3 linked regions of the Macaca mulatta genome follow. The main gene of each other region encodes a partner of the protein of the gene in region 3 in a complex. Links are inferred from orthologs where the notes say so. Each region holds a gene or a part of one and is shown on either strand. Other genes may lie near its edges. The genes, in order: PTP4A2, PTP4A3 and CNNM3.

Region 1 (6,854 bases), on a different chromosome or scaffold from region 3:
TGCTTGAGCCTAGGAGGTTAAGGCTGCAGTGAGCCATGTTTGCACTATTGCATTCCCTCCTGGGTGACAAAGTGAGACCCTGTCTTAAAAAAAAAAAAAAAAAGAAAGGCTGGGTGCAGTGGCTCACGCCTGTAATCCCAGCACTTTTGGAGGCTGAGCAGACGGATCACGAGGTCAGGAGATCGAGACCATCCTGGCTAACACGGTAAAACCCCGTCTCTACTAAAAATACAAAAAATTAGCCGGGTGTGGTGGCGGGCGCCTGTAGTCCCAGCCACTCGGGAGGCTGAGGCAGGAGAATGGTGTAAACCCAGGAGGTGGAGCTTGCAGTGAGCCGAGATCGCACTACTGCACTCCAGCCTGGGTGACAGAGTGAGATTCTGTCTCAAAAAAAAAAAAAGGGGGTAAACGTAACTATTATTGGGGCCATTATTCTTATCCTTATGTTGTTAATGTTGTTATTACACTATTTTATTTCAGGGCCAGAAGGAGAGCTAGGTGGAGGGGAGTGTCATTCACTTGGTCAAACAATCTACTAGATGAAAACAAACAAGCAAACAATCTGCTAGACTGCCCCAAATAGATCCATCTAAGCGGGGGAGAGTCTGAAAACAGGCAATTACAGTATTATGTTAAGTGCTATGGTAGAGGATTGCACAAGGTGTTTTGCAACTTTATCGGAAGAATCAATAACTCATAGACGCAGCAAAAGTTTTGCAGAGGAGGTAGCTCTTTGTTTCAAATCAGTCTGTGTTTCCAGGAAGTAGAAAATACTGCTTGCTGGAGGCAGACAGAATGCAAGTGAGCCCAGTCTGTGCTCCTCACCCAGGGGCCTTGCTACTGATCTGCAGCCCCTCTTGCTCCTCAAGGCCTCTCTCAACTCCCACACAGCCCTGCTAACCAGCTTTGCCCTAGAATACCCCCTCCTGGGCCACCTGCTGGTGGTGAACATCCTGGACTCTGCTCTGTGGCTTGATGCGGCTGAGTCATAAGACCTTTCATTTTACTGCTAAGCTCTAATGGAAGCCTTCTGGTCAGTAGCAATGCCCCAAGTCTACCTTGTGGGGAAGGTCTAATGATGACAGATTACTGCTTCTCCCCGCAGGGCTGGATGAGCATGGATGTGGTGGTGAGGTAGGGGAGAAACACCCACGGGGGCATCTTCATTTCTTCCTAGATAGGAGCCAGTTCTGGGCAGGCAAGACTTCCCAGGAGTGGACAGAAAGAACAGACCCTCCCCAACCCGCAATTCTCAGGGGGAGACATCTCCCTTCCTCCCAAGCCAGCCCCCAATGCCGCACTTTGCCTGTCATCTGGCCGTGGCCCAAACCAGCCTCCCAGCTCGCTAGTGACCACATTTTCCAAACCAAAACTCAGGACGCATGATCTGGCAAAGAATTTCTGGCTAGCTTCCAAATGCAAGAGGCAAAAACCTTTCCACTTGAGAATCTCTATGATAATCTGCGTCGTTAAAGGTGACATTAAGTCGGAAACCTTGAAATTCAGGGTCTCCTCTTTCTCAAGCGTTTTATTTTCCCTTTTTTTTTTTTTTTTTTTTTTTTTGAGATGGAGTCTGGCTCTGTCGCCCAGGTTGGAGTGCAGTGGCGTGACCTTTGCTCACTGCAACCTCCACCTCCTGGGTTCAAGCGATTCTCCTGCCTCAACCTCCCGAGTAGCTGGGATTACAGGCGCGCACCACTATGCCCGGCTAATTTTGTATTTTTGGTAGAGATAGGGTTCCACTATGTTGGCCAGGCTTGTCTCGAACTCCTGACCTAGTGATCCGCCCGCCTCGGCCTCCCAAAGTGCTGGGATTACAGGCATGAGCCACCGCGCCCGGCCTTTCTCAAGTGTTTTCATACGTTATTATCGATCGTGAAAGCGCCCATGAGGTTGCTGATTATTATTTCTTTCTTTTTTTTTTTTTTGAGACGGAGTCTCGCTTTGTCGCCCAGGCTGGAGTGCAGTGGCCGGATCTCAGCTCACTGCAAGCTCCGCCTCGCGGGTTTACGCCATTCTCCTGCCTCAGCCTCCCGAGTAGCTGGGACTACAGGCGCCCACCACCTCGCCCGGCTAGTTTTTTGTATTTTTAGTAGAGACGGGGTTTCACCATATTAGCCAGGATGGTCTCGATCTCCTGACCTCGTGATCCGCCCGTCTCGGCCTCCCAAAGTGCTGGGATTACAGGCTTGAGCCACCGCGCCCGGCCTATTATTTCCACTTTATAGTTGATAATACTTGGAGAGAGGGAATCACTTGCCCAAGATCCTACATCCTGAAAGTCTGAATTTTGGCTTGTCAGGGACAGTTCTTAGAATGTGTGTGTGTCTTGTGGGCAGAGCCGGGGGTGGCGTATTAATATCCTCCACGAAGATGCACACGCTATTTATTTGGGGCCTCAGGAAGGGCAGCCAAGAACTGAGCTGCCCGGGTTCCCACTTCTGAGTTGGAAATCCCCAAGCACAGGACTTGGTGGCCACCCTGTCCCATCAGGATCTGACCCCAGGCCTGACGGCCTAGGAGCGAGAAAGAACCCTTCGACCTTGCGGGTCACACCTCGGCTGCAGGCCCTCGACCCAGCCCAGGTGCGGATGGGCGGGGCGCAGCGTGGGCGAACGACTCCCCAGGCCACGTTCTGCTTTTCCCTCCCCGGTCACATGGACTCGCCTTCCGTAGCCGGGAGTGCGGAGCAGAACGAACCACCAGGAGGAGGAGCGGGGGAGGTGCCCAGGGCAGTGGGTCAGAGCCCCGCGGGGCAGGTGGGCGGGCCCAACCGCCCGCGAGCCGGCCGGCCAGCCAGTCAGCGAACGCGGAGGGCGGGTCAGCTGCCCATTGAGCCGCGCCCCGCAGCGCCCCCTGAGGGGCGGCGGCGGGAGCTGGTTCCGGCTGCGCGCGCAGCGGTGGTGGCGGCGGCGCGATCGGCCGGGCTGTAACCGTCGTCCGTCCGGGAGTGGCTGGAGCGGCAGCGGCGGCCGGGCACGGCGCGAGGCGACGCCACAGGGCAGCGGCGGCAGCGGGGGCAGCGGCGGCAGCAGGAGACGCAGCGGCGACCGCAGCAGCAGCAGCAAGACGGACTCGTGGAGACGCGCCGCCGCCGCCGCCGCCGGGCCGGGCCGGGTGTCGCGCGCCGAGGCTGGGGGGGAGTCGTCGCCGCCGCCGCCACCGCTACCGCCGCCGCCGCCGCCGCCGAGGTGACTGAGGAGAGAGGCGCCTCCTCGCTCCCGCCGCCGCCGGACTTCAATGCCCAGTCCCCAGCTCGCCAGCGTGAGTGCGCCCCTCCCGGGCGGCCCCCGCGCCGGCGCCGGGGGCCTCGGGGAAGGGGAGGGCGGGAGGCGCTGCAGCCATTAGTACAGGCCGGAGACACGTCCCCGGAAGGAGGGCCGGGCCGGGCCGGGGCGGGGGAGCGAGGGTGGGTGAGCGAGGGGCGGGCTCGTGTGTGTGGAAGGGGGAGAGCTGTGCGAGCGTGGGGGAGAGTGTGAGTTGGTGAAGGGAGGGCGTGTGAGTGGGGGACAGGGCTAAGTGTGCGAGGAGGTGGGGGGAGTGGGAGCGGGTCGGGGGACAGTGTCGATGTTGGGGGAGTGTGGGTGCAGGCGAGGGAGGGTATGGGTGTGCGGGGAGCGTGTGGGCATGAGGGGTGGGGGTACATGAGTGAGAAGTGGGGGAGGAGAGAGTTGAGAGTGTGGTAGAGAGCGAGTGTAGGGGGAGAACATGGTGTGTGTCGGTGAGAAGGTGCGTGGCAGAGGCGGGAGTGTGGCAGGGTGTGCCGGCGTGTGTCCAGTGTGTGAGCAGGCATCCTGGAGGCCCTTCCTCTTCGTCTTTGTGTGTGGCGATAGTGAACCGTGGTGTGTTGGGTTAGGGAGTTCTTTCCGGGAGCATCTTGTCCCTGGGTGCTCAGGTTCAAGTATGAGGAAAGGGGGTATAAGTCTCTTCTAGTGGCACTATGATCTTCTGGCTCTGGGATTTTAATTTTTTTCCCCCCCAGAAAAGATGTGATGTGTTTTTTTTGTTGTTGTTCTATACGTTTTTTTTCTCCCACGTTTCATAACTTCAAAGTAAATTTTCAAATTAGTCAAGGATGCCATCCTATCCTAGTCTGGGTCCCTGAGAGCTAACGAAAAGAAGTGTGTCTGTTGCCCAAGAGCCTACACTCTGGCCTGTAGAGTGTTCAGGAGCATAAACTTTTGTAAAGTACTGCTAGTTTTTCAGGTGAAGAGTATTTTATTGTTAGGTAAATTAAACTATAGGCTAGTTTATTATTTCCTGGAATTTGTCAAGAAATTAGCAGTGACCCGCAGTTCTAGTGTCACTGTAGGCATTCAGCAAATGTTTGTCTGGAGTCACCAAACTACAACCACTGCTGAGTTGGAATATGGTACTTGCTGTCATGCTCTGTAACAGAGTAGTTTCAGAGGGAAGTGAGTGAAGTTATGCCTTGCCGAATGTGCAAAAGGAAATTAAGGATGCAGAATGACACATTATCAGGGCTTCAGAATCACTTGCCAGCACACCATTGTATTGGTGAAGATGGTGAGAAGTTGTTTGCTGGTATTCTGATCTTGGCATTTTTAAGTTTCATAATGAATGGACTAATTATTGTCATGGACTTTTCCCATTCTTGAGTTGTAAAAGTAGGGATTCTTGATGAAGAGTAGTACCTCGATAGGGATTTTACACTTTGATATAATATTAAAAATGATGTTATCTTAAAAATAATTGTCTCTTAGAAGTTGGTAGTCTTTCAGTATAAGCAAAAAGTAGTATGGTCCTTTTGTTGTTGTTGTTTTTTTTTTGAGATGGAGTTTTGCTCTGTTGCCCAGGCTTCCCAGGTTCAAGTAATCTCCCGCCTCAGCCTCCCAAGTAGCTGAGAATACAAGTGTGCGCCACCACACCCAGCTAATTTTCATAGTTTTAGTAGAGACGGGGTTTCACCTTGTTGGCCAGGCTGGTCTCGAACTCCTGACCGCCACTGATTCACCTGCCTTGGCCTCCCAAAGTGCTGGGATTAACAGGCGCGAGGGTGGTCCTTTTGATCGTGAACATAATAGAATTACAGGCAAAATCATTGATGTGTAATTAAAAGTTAGAATTTATATTTTTCGGCTGGGCGTGGTGGCTCACGCCTGTAATCCTAGCACTTTGGGAGGCTGAGGCAGGAGGATCGATTGAGCCCAGGAGTTCAAGACCAGCCTGGGCAACGTGGTGACTCCATTTCTACAGAAAATACAAAAGTTAGGCATGGTAGTATGTGCCTGTAGTTCCAGCTATCCTGGAGGCTGAGGCGAGAGGAACTTGTGATTTCAGGAAGTCAAGGCTGTAGTGAGCCAGTGAGACCCTCTCTCAAAAAAATAAGAAAGAAATAGTAAATAGTATTGTTACTATTCAGTGAGGGAAGGAATTAATTAGTGTTAATTGCCTACTGTGCTACAGGTGCTTTTTATATTCATTTAATTCTCACAACTACAAGAAAGGTGGTCTCTTCATTTGCATCCATTTGGCTTATTTTGAACCACTTCTGTTTGCCCGGCACTAGGGATACAGCGATGAGCTCCCATGGATTTACAGTGGTGAGAAGAAGAGATACAGAAACTTAAAAGGTTAAGTAACTTGTCCCAGGTCACACAGATAAGAAGAATTAGTGCTGGATTAAAAATCCAGGTCTTTGACTCCAAAGCTGTTGATTTTTCCAATACATCATACTGCTGTTTCAATAGCTCATCTTACATTGAGGTTTCTCATCCACATGATGACCTAGCAGCTTGTACTTAGGAGAGCTGTTGAAATAGAGAAGGCTGGAGGCAAGGGGATCATTTAGGAGATGCTGACTGGAGGCTCTTTGGGGCCTAAGCTAGGCTTTTATGTGGGAGGAGATGCTGCCTTGAAACTCTCTTCGGGCTCTGGGTGTGTGCTTTGAGACAGTTTTTATGAGGCATCTGGGATATGTCTGCGTGAGGGAAGTCTGATTAAAGAAATGCAGCAGCCTTTTATGTTTTATTTTTTGGAAAAAAGAGAATATACTTATTGGGGCCAAGAGTGAACTAGAGCTTAACCACTGTATGAAAGTTTCTCTGTTGAGCTGTGTGGGACACTTAAATCAGAAGAAGTGAGAATATACATGTTGAAAGCATTTTGTTAATTATAAATTGACTACAGATTTGAAGTATTATTGCCACTAAGGTCTTTCTACTAAGGCAACAGATTTTGTAGCTGGAAAAGGCTGGCGTTTTCGACACCTTTATAGATGAGAAATAGTTTCGAACTGCTGAACGGGGTATTTTCTGACTCAGAACAGCAAAAGTCAGGCCACTCCCTCTGTGAGTCAGTCAAGTAATATTTAATTTGAACAAACCAAATTTATAGGCAGAAACCATTTACAACATCATTGAACTTTGTAGCACTAGGAAGAGTAAATGTTTGAATACTTTTGTGTGTAGCTTTGAAAAAACATAGTATGAGAGCCCCATATATAGTTGACTTGAAAAAAAATTTCAAACAAGGTAAATTGGATTTATCTTTCTTAAGAATTAACTTTATTCATTTTGTCCGATAAAGGTAGTATTTCCTTATGCAGTAATTAAGGAACACTTTACAATTTTCAGACACAAAGTTGAAATTTAGTAGGGATTTATTTTACAGGATTTGAATATACTTTTTCCTTTTTGTTGTAATGTGGGGGTTGGTAACCAGTGAAGCCTAGAAAACTAATGAATTTACAAACAAGATGCAGAGGGAGCAGGTGCATACGTTTTTAGCTGTTGCTCTTGGTCTTGGAAGAATGAAGCTTAAGTTTTTCTGAAACTAAGTTTGGTTAATTTATTTGGGTGCTAGTCCATCAGCTGTATTTGTTGAATAGAAGA
Region 2 (6,898 bases), on a different chromosome or scaffold from region 3:
CAGCTGGGCGAGCCTGCACCAGGGGGCAGTCGTCTACCGGGCCGGGGGTGGACCCCCTGCCCTGGGGCCGGCTCTGGGCCTGCAGCTGCTGTGGCCCATCCCCCAAGGATACGGCAGCAGAACCGCCCCACACCCTGCCCAGACCTGGGTCCCCAGGGCCAAAGGAGCCAAGGAAACTGCCCAAGGGTCCTCCCCAGGAACCTGCTGCCTGGCAACAGGGCCGCAGCCACCTGGACAGAGGCTGAGATGGACCCAAGACAGGACGGGAGGAGGGTCTGAGACAGGCGGAGGAGCCCAACCCCCACCTTGGCCCATGCACCAAGCATGTGCCAGCCACCCCTGCCTGGCGAGCCAAGCTGGCCCAATCTAGAGACAGAAAGATGGGGTACACAAGGGTGAATTTCTTGAGGTCACAAGGCCCAACACCCTGGCCTTCCCTTGATGTACCCAGACACACACGTGGCCCGGCACAAACATGTCCAGGGCTGCCACAGGAGGGGCACCAAACCCTCTGTGCAGGCCCAGAGCCCCCCGCCCCACCCTCCCACGGTGGCAGCAGCGACGAGGGTCCCCGTGGCCAGGGTCCCCGTGACGCGTGCCTCACCACAACTGTGATGCCGTCCTTCTCCAGCGGCGTTTTGTCATAGGTCACTTCACACACGCGCACCACGGTGGTGGCCCCATACTTCTTCAGGTCCTGAGGGGGGAGGACGGAGGAGGCAGGGCTGGGCTGGGGCTGCAGTGCTCAGGGAGCAGGACCCACTCACCAGGGCTCCCAGGGCACAGCTGTGTCCCCCACCATCACCCAGGACTTGGACATGTCCCTTCAGACCCTTCAGGGTGGAGCCCTGTCCCCTCAGACCTCTCGGGGTGGAATCCTGTCCCCTCAGTCCCCTGGGGCAGGGGCATGGTCCCTGAAGCCCCCAGGGAAGGGCATGTCACCCTCCAGCCAGGCAGACCCTGATGCAGTGACGCCCACCAAGAGTGGACTTCGGGCTCCGCGACTGGTCAAGGTGGTGTCTGGGTGTGAAAGAGCCTGTCCCAGGTCCCTTGGGCCACCCAGCAAAGGCAAAGGTGTCTCCACCTACATTCATGGTCACCGGCAGCTGGGACCCCAGCTCCCCAGCACACCACTCCCTCCTCTGGGGTGCTCAGGACCCCACATCTACCAGCAAGGACATTTCTTCCAGAAAAGCTACTGGGTCCCCACAGCAGGAACTGGACCCCCCAGTCCACATGTGAGCCCCTGCATCTGAGCAGCGACCCCAGCTGAGCCGCAGGGATGGGTCCAGTCCAGGGGGACTTTGGGGTCTAAGAGGGGCGGGCGTCAGCTGGGGCACCTCAGAGCAGGGAGGGTGGGCACCACTCAGATGGCGGCCAGGAGGGAGCTGGGCCCTGCACGCCACCAGGGAAGCCCCACACGACCAGGGAAAAGGTCGTGGTAGTTCACAGCCAGGCCGATATTTATACCCCCACTGCGGGGGATCCACTTCACGGGGGTCACGTGTGAGGGCTGTTCCCACCCCACCTGCTCTCACAGCTATTTTGGGATGGGTGAGGAATCAGCTGCTGGGTCTTGCTGGTCACGGGACGGGTACCTAGAACACAGAGAGGCCAGTACCCAACTATCTGAGAATGCAGGGAGCAGGCGGGGTGCTGGGCTCTCTGGCCGTGGGGTACCTCAGAGGCCCTCTGCACCCTCAGCAGAGGGAATGGCCACCCAGCCCAGGACTCAGTCCTGGCCCTGGTCACAGGTTGAGCCCTTCCTGATCCTGGTCACACACTGAGCCCTGATCCTGGTCACATCCTGAGCCTTGACAGTCACACACCTGTGAGCCTTCATCCTGGTCACATGCTGAGCCCCAACCCTGGTGACATACTGAGCCCTGATCCTGGTCACATACTGAGCCTTGATCTTGGTCACACACTGAGCCCTGATCCTGGACTAAGCCTTAACCCTGGTCACAGGCTGAGCCCTCCCTAACCCTGCTGACCTACTAAGCTCTAATCCTGGTCACACACTGAGCCCTGATCCTGGACACGCACTGAGCCTCGATCCTGGTCACATAGTGAGCCCTGATCCCAGACACACACCAAACCCTGACCCTGGTCACACATGAGCACTGATCCTGGTCAAACACTGAGCCCCAACCTTGGTCACATACTGAGTGCTGATCCTGGACACACAGAGTCCCAACCTTGGTCACACACTGAGACCTGACCTTGGTTACAGGCTTAACCCTGATCCCAGTCATATTCTGAGGACTGACCCTGGCCACTCATCATGATGTTCTCCCCAATCTTTCTTGTACATCCTGCTGTTATCTCAAGGGTCTCAGCTGTGAGAGGGACAGCCATCTTCTGTAGGGCACCTGGCTCAGTGTCCAGGGTCCAGGCTCCCTGATGGCAGGGTGCCCAATGCATCCTGCTGCTCTACAGTTCTCAATACCCTCTCATGCCCAAATCCCTGTTTCATTATGACAAGACCATGATGGCTTATCTCATGTCACAGGGCAAAGGACTCAGTCATAAATGACCCTGCACACAGCTGCAGCCTCTGACACAGCTGGCACAGACAGAGGCTGTCAACGGCCCCACACACCGCTGCAGACTCTGCAAATGGCCCCAGGCCTGCAAACAGCAGGGCACTCTGCAGAGACCAGGCTCCTCTAGGAGGCCACACAGGTCTCTCCAGACTCCACTCCCAAGATAGCTTCTGTAAATGCATCTGGTCCCATCTGCCAGGGTTGCCAGTGGCAGGCATCTCTGCTGGCTCTCCAGGGCACAGCGGTCCCTCCCTCCTGTGGCCAGTGCTGACCTTTGCTCAGTCCCTCCTCATATAGAGATCTGGGCCCTGAAGCCCCCTGTCCAGCCTCGTCTAACCTGAGGTCTCACCCAGAGCCCAGCAGCGTGTGGAAGCCTGGGCTAGCCATGGAGCTGCCCTGCATACTTGTCCCCCATCTGCCTGTTTCCCCATTAAGCAGCCACTTCTCATACCAGGGCACCTCCTGCCCGCTCAGCCTATGCACAGAGGTCAAAAGGACAGCAAAGGGCTGGGGAGGGCCTCAGCCCAGGCCACGGCTGAGCACGCAGAACCTGGCCCATGTATCCCCCAGCCTCACCCCCTGCCTCTATCCACATGGCATGGAGTCCCTCCTATCACATGCCAGCCCCCTGCAGGCCTCCCAGGGGACCCAGCTGATCCCCCAACACCCTCACCCCCGACCCCCAGGATACCCCCATGTCCCTCCTCCAGGATCCTGCAACGGGGACTGGGCTTTGCTTCAAGGCTGTGAGCCCTGTCTGGCCAGCGGGGGCTGGGGACCCCTCTCGGGAGGCCTCAGGCAGCTCAGCCGGGCTTCCCAGATACCTGGGCCCCCTGCCTGCCACAGCTCCGTCTCCACTCACCTCGATGAAGGTGCTGAGCGTGGCGTTGGTGGGGTTGTGGGTGATGAGGAAGCGCATGTGTTTGTAGCTCACCTCCACCGGGGCCGGGCGGTTCATCCGAGCCATGGCGCCTCCTGACAGGCCCGGCAGGGCAGAAGGGGCTGCACAGAAGGCTGGGGACACGTCCTGAGAAGTCCCCACGTACCCCCCAAAAATGAGGAGAACAAGATCCCTGTGCTTGTCCAAGAAAAGCGAGATTTAAAAACCCACCCCCATACCCCGCACAAATATTGTGCAAATACTTAGGCGTGGGGGAGGAAGCTGCCCAGTGTTTGGATAATTAAAAAAGAAAACCCAAGTCTTAAAAAAGAAAAGAGAAAAAACAGCCCCCTCCCCGCCCAAAGTAAAGCAGGCAACTCCAAACTCCTGTCTCTCACAGCTGGATAGTCATAAAGAGGCAAAAAATAAAAAGAACAACCAAAAAAAGCTCAGCAAAGAAAACTTAAAAGCCCAAAGAGAATCCGGCCGCCAAGCAGTGTCCAGAGCTGGACCCCACGCTGGGGGCGCCCTCTCCACATCGGTGGCTGGGCAGACAGCCCCCTTCACTCAGAGGTGGGCCCCAAGCCCCCAAGGGCCAAAGGAAGAATGAACTTGAACTGAACCAACTCCAGCAGCCTTGGGCCAGGGGTCACGGGCAGCGGCCGTGGGGACAGCGGCCTCTGACGTGCGGGGCCTCTGTCACGTTACCCCATCGGGGTACGGTGAGTCCTGAAGGGGGGCAGGGGGCTCAGGCGGTAGAGCTGGCCCCAGGCTGGGCAGCAGAGGCCATCGGCAGGCGAGGGCAATGGTGAGAGCCAGCAGCGCGGGGACTCCTCAGCAGCAGGCACGGCGAGCCTGGGTACAGCAGTGCTCAGGGCTGGGCCCCGTGGCCCACTCCATGAACCCCAGGTGGGTCCGCAGCACACAGCATCTGGGGGCGCAGATGAAGAAAATGAATAGAAAGGGGTCACAGTGGGCCCTACCTCCCACGAGGGGTTCATGCCTGCCCTGAGCCCGCAGTCACAGGCAACACCTCTCCCAGAGCGCTCCTCCTGACCATGCTGAGTGAATGACCCTCTTAGGTCTGTTTCCTTATGTGGGAGCACGAGGAAGCACGGCTCCTGCCAGGACTGACCCAGCGCCTGAAGGCCATAGGGCAGCCACCACACAGCCAGCAGGGCATGACGGAGGACAGAGGGGGACAGGGATTTCAGGGACATACACACCCCCGAGGACATGATGAACCCAGCACACAGACAATGGGTCCCTCTGTGGGGACACAGGCCGAGTTCCCCTAAGAAGCCTGAGCCTGGCCCCTGCCCACCTGCCGTGATCTGTGGAAACCCCACCCCAGGACAGCTGCCCTCTCCTCTTCCGATTCTTGGCTACTGCGAACATCTGAGCCCAGGTCTCTCTGGGTGGCCCATCCTCAGGGAACGGGGCCCAGGCACTCAGTCAGTGCTGCCAGTACAGGGAGGTGAGGGACCTGGCCCCACAAGCGGCCGTGGGCCACCCTAATTGCCTCTTGCTTTCTGCAGAGTCTCCTGCCTGTCAGTAGCCCCCTGCCCACCAGTGTCCCCCTGCCCACCAGTGTCCCCCTGCCACTGTGTCTCTGCTGCTCACACAGGGCTCAGCCAGGCTCAGGGGATAAACAGGCCAGCTCTGCCCCTCCAGGAGCTTGTGGAGGCGGGGACAGACCACACCAATAGGCCAGCCATCAGGCACACATGCCAAGGTGGTGACAGCACAGGTGGCCAGGAGTGGCTTCACACCGTAACAGGGCCCTGAAGAGGGAGGGTGCAGGTGGGCCACAGTAACCTGAAGCACCTCCACGCCTGCCTCTCTCCCTCTCTGGGTCTCACAACCCCAAAGCTCCCGGGCAAGGGGGTTCCAGGAGCACGCAGCCTCCTTCCCTCTCTACGGAAAGGCTGGGAGACCTTGTACAAGGTGCCAGCCTCTTTGTTACCCCATTAGCACAACGAGGGGCCACACAAGTGACCCAAGCTCCCTCCGGCTGTGACCCAGCTGTTAGCAGACTCTCCAGCCCCCTAGACTCAACCCAAGCCCGGCCCTGTCACTACTGTCTACCACCCAAGGAAAGGCACTTCAGGGTCCCTTGTCCAGCAGAGCTCTCCATTCCCCAACCCACCCCCTCTCACCTGTGCCCCTGCCCCAGCCCCAGCACCCCCTTCCCAGCTGCCCACCAGGCAGGCTGGGCCCTTGGAGTCTCAGCCCAGGCGCAGGGAGGGCTTGAGGCCTGGGTCCCTGGACTCGGAGGGTGGCTGCATGGGACCGTGGGCTCCTCCTTGCTTGCCCTCCACACCCTCGGTGGCAGCCAGTGCTCACAGGCTCCGAGCAAGCGCCACACCTCAGGATCTGTCCATTGCGTGGTTCTGGGAAGGTTAAAACAGATGGTGGGTGCAGTGGCTCATGCCTGTAATCCCAGCACTTTGGGAGGCTGAGGCAGGCAGATGACCTGAGGTCGGGAGTTCGAGACCAGCCTGACCAACACGGAGAAACCCCATCTCTACTAAAAACAAAAATAAAAAAAATTAGCCAGGCGTGGTGGTGCATGCCTGTAATCCCAGCTACTCGGGAGGCTGAGGCAGGAGAATCGCTTGAACCCAGGAGGCAGAGGTTGCAGTGAGCCGAGATCGCGCCATTGCGCTCTAGCCTGGGCAACAAGAGCAAAACCCCGCCTCAAAAAAAAAAAAAAAAAAAAAAACGGATGGTGGGGTGGGACCTCTAGCAGGAGGTAAAGGTGGAGACAAGGATCCTGCCCCTGGTCCTGCCAGCCCCCACCCTGCCCAGCTGGAGGGAGCACAGGCTCTGAGTGTGGGTGAGGGAAGCCACCGCGTGCTAACAGCACACAAACACCTGGGTCCCTCCTGGGACGGCAGGACGTCCCTGTGCGCGGGAGCCGAGTTCATGTTTACAGAAAGAAAGGAGGAAAAGCGCTGGAGAAGCCACAGCATTGGGCCTCTCCCTGAGGGGCTGACCAACCCCTCACGCCCACAGCTGCCAAGGACCTGGGAAGACCCCACAGGCAACAGCACGTGGCCTGGCCCTGCTGCCTAGTGGCCCTGGACAGGTCCACAGGGCTGCAGGCTGCTGCAAGGGAGGAGGCTCTGAACCACCTCAGGGGTCACAACCCAGGCTAGAACGGGGTCAGGGGTCCAGGGAGAGGCTAGACAAGGCTGGGCTGGGGTCTTGCCACACACCCCACTTGTCTCTGCACCCTGGAGCCCCTACTCCTGCCCCAGGTGAAAGCAAAGCAATGATGCCCTGGCACCACTGTGTGGCTCTGCCCTGCCTGGTGGCTGTCCCCCAAGGGAGAACACCCCTCCCTAACTGCACGCCCCCACTGAGGTCACCAGGTAGGGCCCTGAGAGCAAGGGTTAAGGATCCCCAGGGATGGGCACTGAGAACTCCCTGAAGCCAAAGCCTCAGGCTTCCCATCTGCAAAATGGGG
Region 3 (6,150 bases):
GGAGGCAGGAGGGGCTCCAGGCCTGGACGCACAGCTACCTGCAGGATGAGAATGAAGTAATCCACCGGCTGGCTGCGCTGGTAGAGGTAGTGGTGCGCGGCCAGGCGGTTGCTCTCGTCAAACCTCACTTCCTGGTTGACGCTGGGATGCTTCAGCAGGTGCAGCAGGACCTTCTCCGAGACGCGCAGTGGGCTGAACACATCCACTTCTGCCCGGAGGGAAAAGGGACAGTGTCCACTGGGGCCTAGTGGCCGGTGGAACCACACCCAACGCTGCAGGCAACTTAAAAGTTATTCTGCCCCGCAGGGCTCTCCTGGGTGGCCTGTCAGCAGCTGCCCCCACACCTCAACACAAGAGAATTGGGCAGGGGCCAGGTGCGGTGGTTCACGCCTGCAATCCCAGCACTTTGGGAGGCTGAGGCAGGTGGATCACCTGCGGTCAGAAGTTCGAGACCAGCCTGACCAACATGGCAAAATCCCGCCTCTACTAAAAATACAAAAATGAGCCGGGCGTGGTGATGCACGCCTGTAAGCCCAGCTACCTGGGAGGCTGAGGCAGGAGAATCGCTTGAACCCGGGAGGCGGAGGTTGCGGTGAGCCAAGATCGTGCCACTGCACTGCAGCCTGGCTGACAGAGCGAGACCCTGTCTTTTTTTTTTTAAAAAAAAAAAAAGAACTGGGCAGGGCACCCCACACCCGCGCAGCTGAGAGCTGAGGCCCCTGGCTGTGGGGCACCAGGCGTGGCGCTGGCCTGGCCTAGCTGTTGGTCGTCTGGCAGAGAGGAGCTGTCTCTCCCATGACCCAGGATGCTGGCAGGGCTGCAGAGAACACACAAGTCCTCAAGACGCGCCGCTTGCTAGGAGCGGGAAGCAGAGTCAGTGTCGGCCCTGGGCGGCCTCCTGACCCACAGGACGGTGAGGAGAGCAGGGGGCGCGGACCACCTTCCCGCCTCACCTCGGGACAGGAAGCGCTGGGTGGCCAAGAGCAGCTGAGGCGAGATTTTTACTTTATATTCATCATCAGACCCCTTGAACAAGGAGAACTCCTCCTTCCGCTTGAGAGGGGCCATCAGAGAAGCAGGCTTCCTCCTCACCACAGTGTCTCCTAAGATGGAAGAAGAGGGCGCGCTCAGGCATCAGCCACCTGTCAGTCAACACCACCACACCAAGGGACTGCATCGCCTGCTCCTTCCTACTGAGGCCAGGGGGTCCTCGACGGAGCAGCATCAGAGCCCCAGGGACATGTCTTCAGCACCACTCCCTCCACGGGGCCTGCTCCCACCCCAACCACACAGAGCGAGGGGTGGCTCCCTGCCTTGGAGCTGGCTGAAGAGAACGCTGATATGATAACAAAGCAGCTCTTATAAAACAACAGGCATCCCTGATAGGTCACTGGACGTGGACTCAATTTTATTTTAATTTAGGCCAGATGTAGTGATTCACACCTGTAACCCCAGCACTTCAGGAGGCCGAGGCGGGAGGATCACTTAAGGCCAGAAGTTCACCACCAGCCTGGCAACAGGGAGACCGTGTCTTTACAAAAAATAAAATAATTAGACAGGTGTGGTGGCACGCGCCTGCAGTCCCAACTGCTCAGGAGGCTGCGGTGGGAGGAAAGCTCGAGCCTGGGAAGTTGAGGCTGCAGTGAGCCATGACTGCACCACTGCACTCCAGCCTAGATGACAGAGCAAGACCATCTCAAAAAAAAAAAAAAATTAAAAATTAAAAAATAGTAACAGGCCTCTCTGGCCACTGAGAAACTTCTCACTAGAAAGCATGTATTCAAGGATGACCAGTGCAAAAGGGCCGCAATTAACCTGGAGACCCCAGGCCTGTGGCAGTCTCAGGAATGGAACCAGAAATGCTATGTTTGAAAACTGACACGAGTAAAGCAGTATTTCTGGAAGCATGCGGGACAGGGGGCCCGGCCATGAAGCGCAGGCTCTGTGCAGCTCTGCAGACCTCAGCCACCAACCTAACAGGCAGACACTTTTACCACGAAATCAAGGGCCCGGGATCAGCTGCTTTGGGAAGACTTATTTCCACCCCCTCCCAGTGTCTCAGCCTGGAGTACAGTGGCATGATCTCGACTCACTGCAACCTCTGCCTCCTGGGTTCAAGCGATTCTTCTGCCTCAGCCTCCTGAGTATCTGGGACTACAGGCATACGCCACCACGCCCAGCTAATGTTTGTATTTTTAGTAGAGACAGAGTTTCACCATATTGGCCAGGCTGGTCTTGAACTCCCAACCTCGTGATCTGCCCGCCTCGGCCTCCCAAAGAGCTGGGATTACAGGCGTGAGCCACTGCGTCCAGCCGGGAAGACTTTCTTCATGGCAAAGAATGGGTTCTTTCAGAGGACATTTCTGTAATGTACAAAAGAACCTGCAAAAACAAAAGCACCTCGGGAGACAGAAGGCTGGGAAAGGCCCATGAAGGGCAGAGCTCTCTCAGTAATGGAGGAATCTAACAGGACTGCTGCTAACGGAGCCCCAGGCGAGCCCTCCTGCAAGGCGGCTCCCTGCCAGCGCCCAGGCAGGGCTGAGAAGGGGCCTGGCTGTGGATCTTGCTGGGTTTCAGCAGCACAGAGGCCCACTGACCTCGGACGCAACATACACCTGGGGAAGTGCGCGGGCCCAGCGGAGACGTAACTGCCAAGAGTCTGGACTCACGGTAGTCTTCAGACTCGTCCAGGATCTCGGACCTGATGATCTCCTCGATCACGTCCTCCAGGGTGACCAGGCCCAGGACCTCGTAGAAGGGGTCGCCCTCACCCTCGTTGTTCACCTTCTGCACGATGGCCAGGTGGGACTTCCCTGCGGGCGGAGGACACTCATGGAACAGCTTGCTGGGCCCCCGCACTTTGATTCATCTCCCTCGGGGCCCACCAAAAGGACGTGGCTAATGTTCATGTTCCTACAGCGGGTCAGGCACAGCCAGACTCTTTTCTAGGTTTTTACTTAAGACGCCCAGCATGACTATGAGGACTGGCCTTATTTTCACACGGGTTGAAAATGAAGCCCTGGGCTCATGCTTGCTCATCTGCACAGGCCCCCCAGGCAGAGGTGGCCGAGCTGGGATCCAGCTCCAGGTCTGTGCGCCTCCATGCCATGGATGCAGTTCAGACAAGCATCCAGTCGAGAACACATGCGCCTCACACAGCAGCCAGCCTGCATATGCAGGCTAACAAGGGCATGACTCCGGAAACGCAGGCTCTCCTGCGGCAGTCCACACGGGGCGGCTGAGTGAGGCCACCCAGCCTGACTCTCCTCGGGAGGTTTTCCTAATTCTTTTTTTTTTTTTTTTTTTTTACAGTAAATATATATGCTGTCCATCCTATGTAAATGTGAACTCCTTCTTGTCCTTATGATAGAAACGAAAAAGAGATAGAAAGATAGATAGACTGTGTGTATGTGTGTGCGTGTGTGTGTCTGTGTATCTTTCCGTTTTCCTAATTCTTAGAGCTGCCCATTAGGGTCTGTGAACCAGGGGATGAGACGCGTGGCAGCTGACCACTCAGGAGTCAAGCTGTGCAGGAGGAGGAGCACCAGGCTGATCTTCCGCCTTACCCTGTCTTTCTTTCTCAGGTTAGCTTCCTGTTTGGTTTGTCTGCTTAGTGAGGGAATGTAAACTTGGAAAAAAGCCCAAGTCTCACAGTGTTGGGGAATGCTGGGGAGGCTTCAGGAATTTACTGTGTCAGGTAAGTGCTTTTCATCCACACTACTTTAGACCCGTCTGAAAAAACCAGAACGCAAGCCACCTAAGTAATTTAAAATCTGAACGGCTGCGTTAGAAAAGTCAAAACAAACACACAAAATTAAGTTTTATATTGTAAGTAACCCAATATAGTCAAAACAGCATTTCAACATGTCATCAATCCAAAAAATAAACACAGACATTTCGTCTATTTTGCACTCTCTGAATCTGGTGTGTTTTATGCTCACAGCACATCTCAACTCAGACTCCACCTTTAGGTACCACAGCCCCAGGTGGAGGGGGCTGCCGGCCTGCGCTGCACAGGGCCAGCACAGGGGATGGGAGCAATTCATCCAGCCAGGCCCTCCTTTGTCACTAACGGAAACACTGAGGGAAACTGGCCTGGACCTGCCTGTGAGGGGGACCTGCTTCAAGACTCTCTTGAGAAATCAAAAAGTCAAGTTCACGTTGTGTGGATCATACTTTACATCCCGTGAGCTTGATTTAAAAAAGCACAGTTCTCCAGGATGCTTGCATTCCCCTGGACAAAAAGCTGGAAATGGCCACACGAGTCATCTCCCCGCTTTCTAGGAGGAAAGGCTAGGGCCCCTGGAGATGGCCACTCAGCCCTCTGAACCGCATTTCTAGACACCTTCTAACCCTCGGTGCTTGTGCTGGGTGCCGTCTCTACGTGGGCCACGGCTGCCCCGCCAGAGTACAAACCTGTCAGGCCAGGCCAGGAAGGCCACGCGCGACTTGTGGTTTTGGTTAATGCCTCGGATTCCAGCACCAAATCCCAGGATCTAAACAGCCACCTCAGCGTAGAGAGGCCTCATCTCGACTCCCTTCTCCCAGGAAGCCAGCCCCTGTCACAGGTTTCCTGCAGAAAGGGACTCACTCCTTTGCTTTCAGACTTCTCGAGAACAAGGCACACAACTCTCCATTTCCTGCCACACTGGGATGACTCTACCACGAACAGAAGAAAGCAGGCCCTGGAAGATCCCCCGGAACAGTGGTTGTGTGACTGAATCCCAAGAAGAACGTCTGGGGGGTCTAGATGGCAGCCAAAGATGGCAGCAGGGGGACAGAGCAAGGGCAGCTGGAGGGACTCAAGGTCACCTCTCATGTGCTGAGCCACCAGAGTGGAACCACTCACACCGACGCCGGCCTGCAGGCCAGCTCCACGGGGCCACACACACCGACGCCCGCCCGCGGGCCAGCTCCACGGGGCCACGCACACCGACGCCCGCCCGCGGGCCAGCTCCACGGGGCCACGCACACCGACGCCCGCCCGCGGGCCAGCTCCACGGGGCCACGCACACCGACGCCCGCCCGCGGGCCAGCTCCACGGGGCCACGCACACCGACGCCCGCCCGCGGGCCAGCTCCACGGGGCCACGCACACCGACGCCCGCCCGCGGGCCAGCTCCACGGGGCCACGCACACCGACGCCCGCCCGCGGGCCAGCTCCACGGGGCCACGCACACCGACACCCGCCAGCTCCACGGGGCCACGCACACCGACGCCCGCCAGCTCCACGGGGCCACGCACACCGACGCCCGCCCGTGGGCCAGCTCCACGGGGCCACGAGCAGCTGTGACAGTGTGTCTTGCCAACATCAAGCAGAAAGTCCTGGAAAAGCTTCAAGTGTAATTTTAGTTAGCAGGCTCCAGGGTATCCCAATTATTTCAATGCCAAAGTACCCTTTCATAATGCCCAATTTCTATGATGTTAATAACAGCTGGAGCGTAAGTTCATCCACCCTCTCTCTTCTGTTTTCTAAAGCACCTGGGTGAATGAATGAATACTGTGAGAAAGACAAAAGCAGCATGCTGACGCTCCTCACGCTGTCGGAGCTGCTCAGACTCTTCAGCATCCTGGCAATCATCTGGCTCCTGACAGGAAACCAGAGCTCGGTTCCTTTAAAGCAGAGACTGCGGCCGAGCACGGTGGCGCACACCTGTAATCCCATCTCTTTGGGAGGCTGAGCTGGGAGGATCACTTGAGGCCAGGAGTTCGAGACCAGCCTGGGCAACAGAGGGAGACCCCAATCACTACATAAAATTAAAAATTAGCTGGGTATGGTGGTGCTCACCTGTGGCCCCAGCTTACTCAGGAGGCTGAGGTGGGAGGATTGCTTGAGTCCAGGAGGCAGAGGCTACAGTGAGCCACGATCACATCACTGCACTCGAACTCGGGTGACAGAGCAAGACTCTGTCTCAAAAATAATAATAACAACGTTCTTGGCCAGGCGCGGTGGCTCACGCCTGTAATCCCAGCACTTTGGGAGGCCGAGGTGGGCAGATCACAAGGTCAAGAGATAGAGACTGTCCTGGCCAACATGGTGAAACTCTGTCTCTACTAAAAACACAAAAAAATTAGCTGGGCATGGTGGTGTGCGCCTGTAGTCCCAGCTACTCAGGAGGCTGAAGCAGGAGAATCACTTGAACCCAGGAAG

Evidence for each region.
Region 1: the proteins of CNNM3 (region 3) and PTP4A2 are in contact, whole or in part, in a crystal structure (PDB 5K25), measured with the Homo sapiens proteins. The link is inferred for Macaca mulatta from reciprocal best matches to the Homo sapiens genes CNNM3 and PTP4A2. Residues at the interface, in NP_060093.3 of Homo sapiens: Leu390, His391, Phe392, Val393, Phe394, Asp396, Thr397, Glu405, Ala414, Gln417, Val419, Glu424, Gly425, Asp426, Pro427, Phe428, Tyr429; in NP_001356788.1 of Homo sapiens: Met1, Asn2, Arg3, Pro4, Asp69, Gly70, Cys101, Ala103, Leu105, Gly106, Arg107, Arg134, Arg135, Gly136, Ala137, Phe138, Asn139, Lys141, Gln142.
Region 2: the proteins of CNNM3 (region 3) and PTP4A3 are in contact, whole or in part, in a crystal structure (PDB 5TSR), measured with the Homo sapiens proteins. The link is inferred for Macaca mulatta from reciprocal best matches to the Homo sapiens genes CNNM3 and PTP4A3. Residues at the interface, in NP_060093.3 of Homo sapiens: Ser357, Asn358, Phe394, Asp396, Lys418, Val419, Asn421, Glu424, Gly425, Asp426, Pro427, Phe428, Tyr429; in NP_001425170.1 of Homo sapiens: Asn5, Pro7, Asp72, Gly73, Ala74, Val105, Ala106, Leu108, Gly109, Arg110, Arg137, Arg138, Gly139, Ala140, Ile141, Asn142, Lys144, Gln145.

The regions. Positions count from the first base shown.
Region 1 is NC_133406.1:208,943,475-208,950,328, forward strand, and holds the start of PTP4A2 (protein tyrosine phosphatase type IVA 2), read left to right. Parts: upstream 1-3,022; 5' UTR 3,023-3,240; coding exon of another isoform or gene 3,241-3,264; intron 3,265-6,854.
Region 2 is NC_133413.1:151,764,352-151,771,249, reverse strand, and holds the start of PTP4A3 (protein tyrosine phosphatase type IVA 3), read right to left. Parts: upstream 3,588-6,898; 5' UTR 3,514-3,587; coding exon 3,409-3,513; intron 698-3,408; coding exon 605-697; intron 1-604. UniProt on the Homo sapiens protein: Protein tyrosine phosphatase which stimulates progression from G1 into S phase during mitosis. Enhances cell proliferation, cell motility and invasive activity, and promotes cancer metastasis.
Region 3 is NC_133418.1:5,487,843-5,493,992, reverse strand, and holds part of CNNM3 (metal transporter CNNM3), read right to left. Parts: intron 2,814-6,150; coding exon 2,598-2,813; intron 1,104-2,597; coding exon 954-1,103; intron 209-953; coding exon 39-208; intron 1-38. UniProt on the Homo sapiens protein: Probable metal transporter.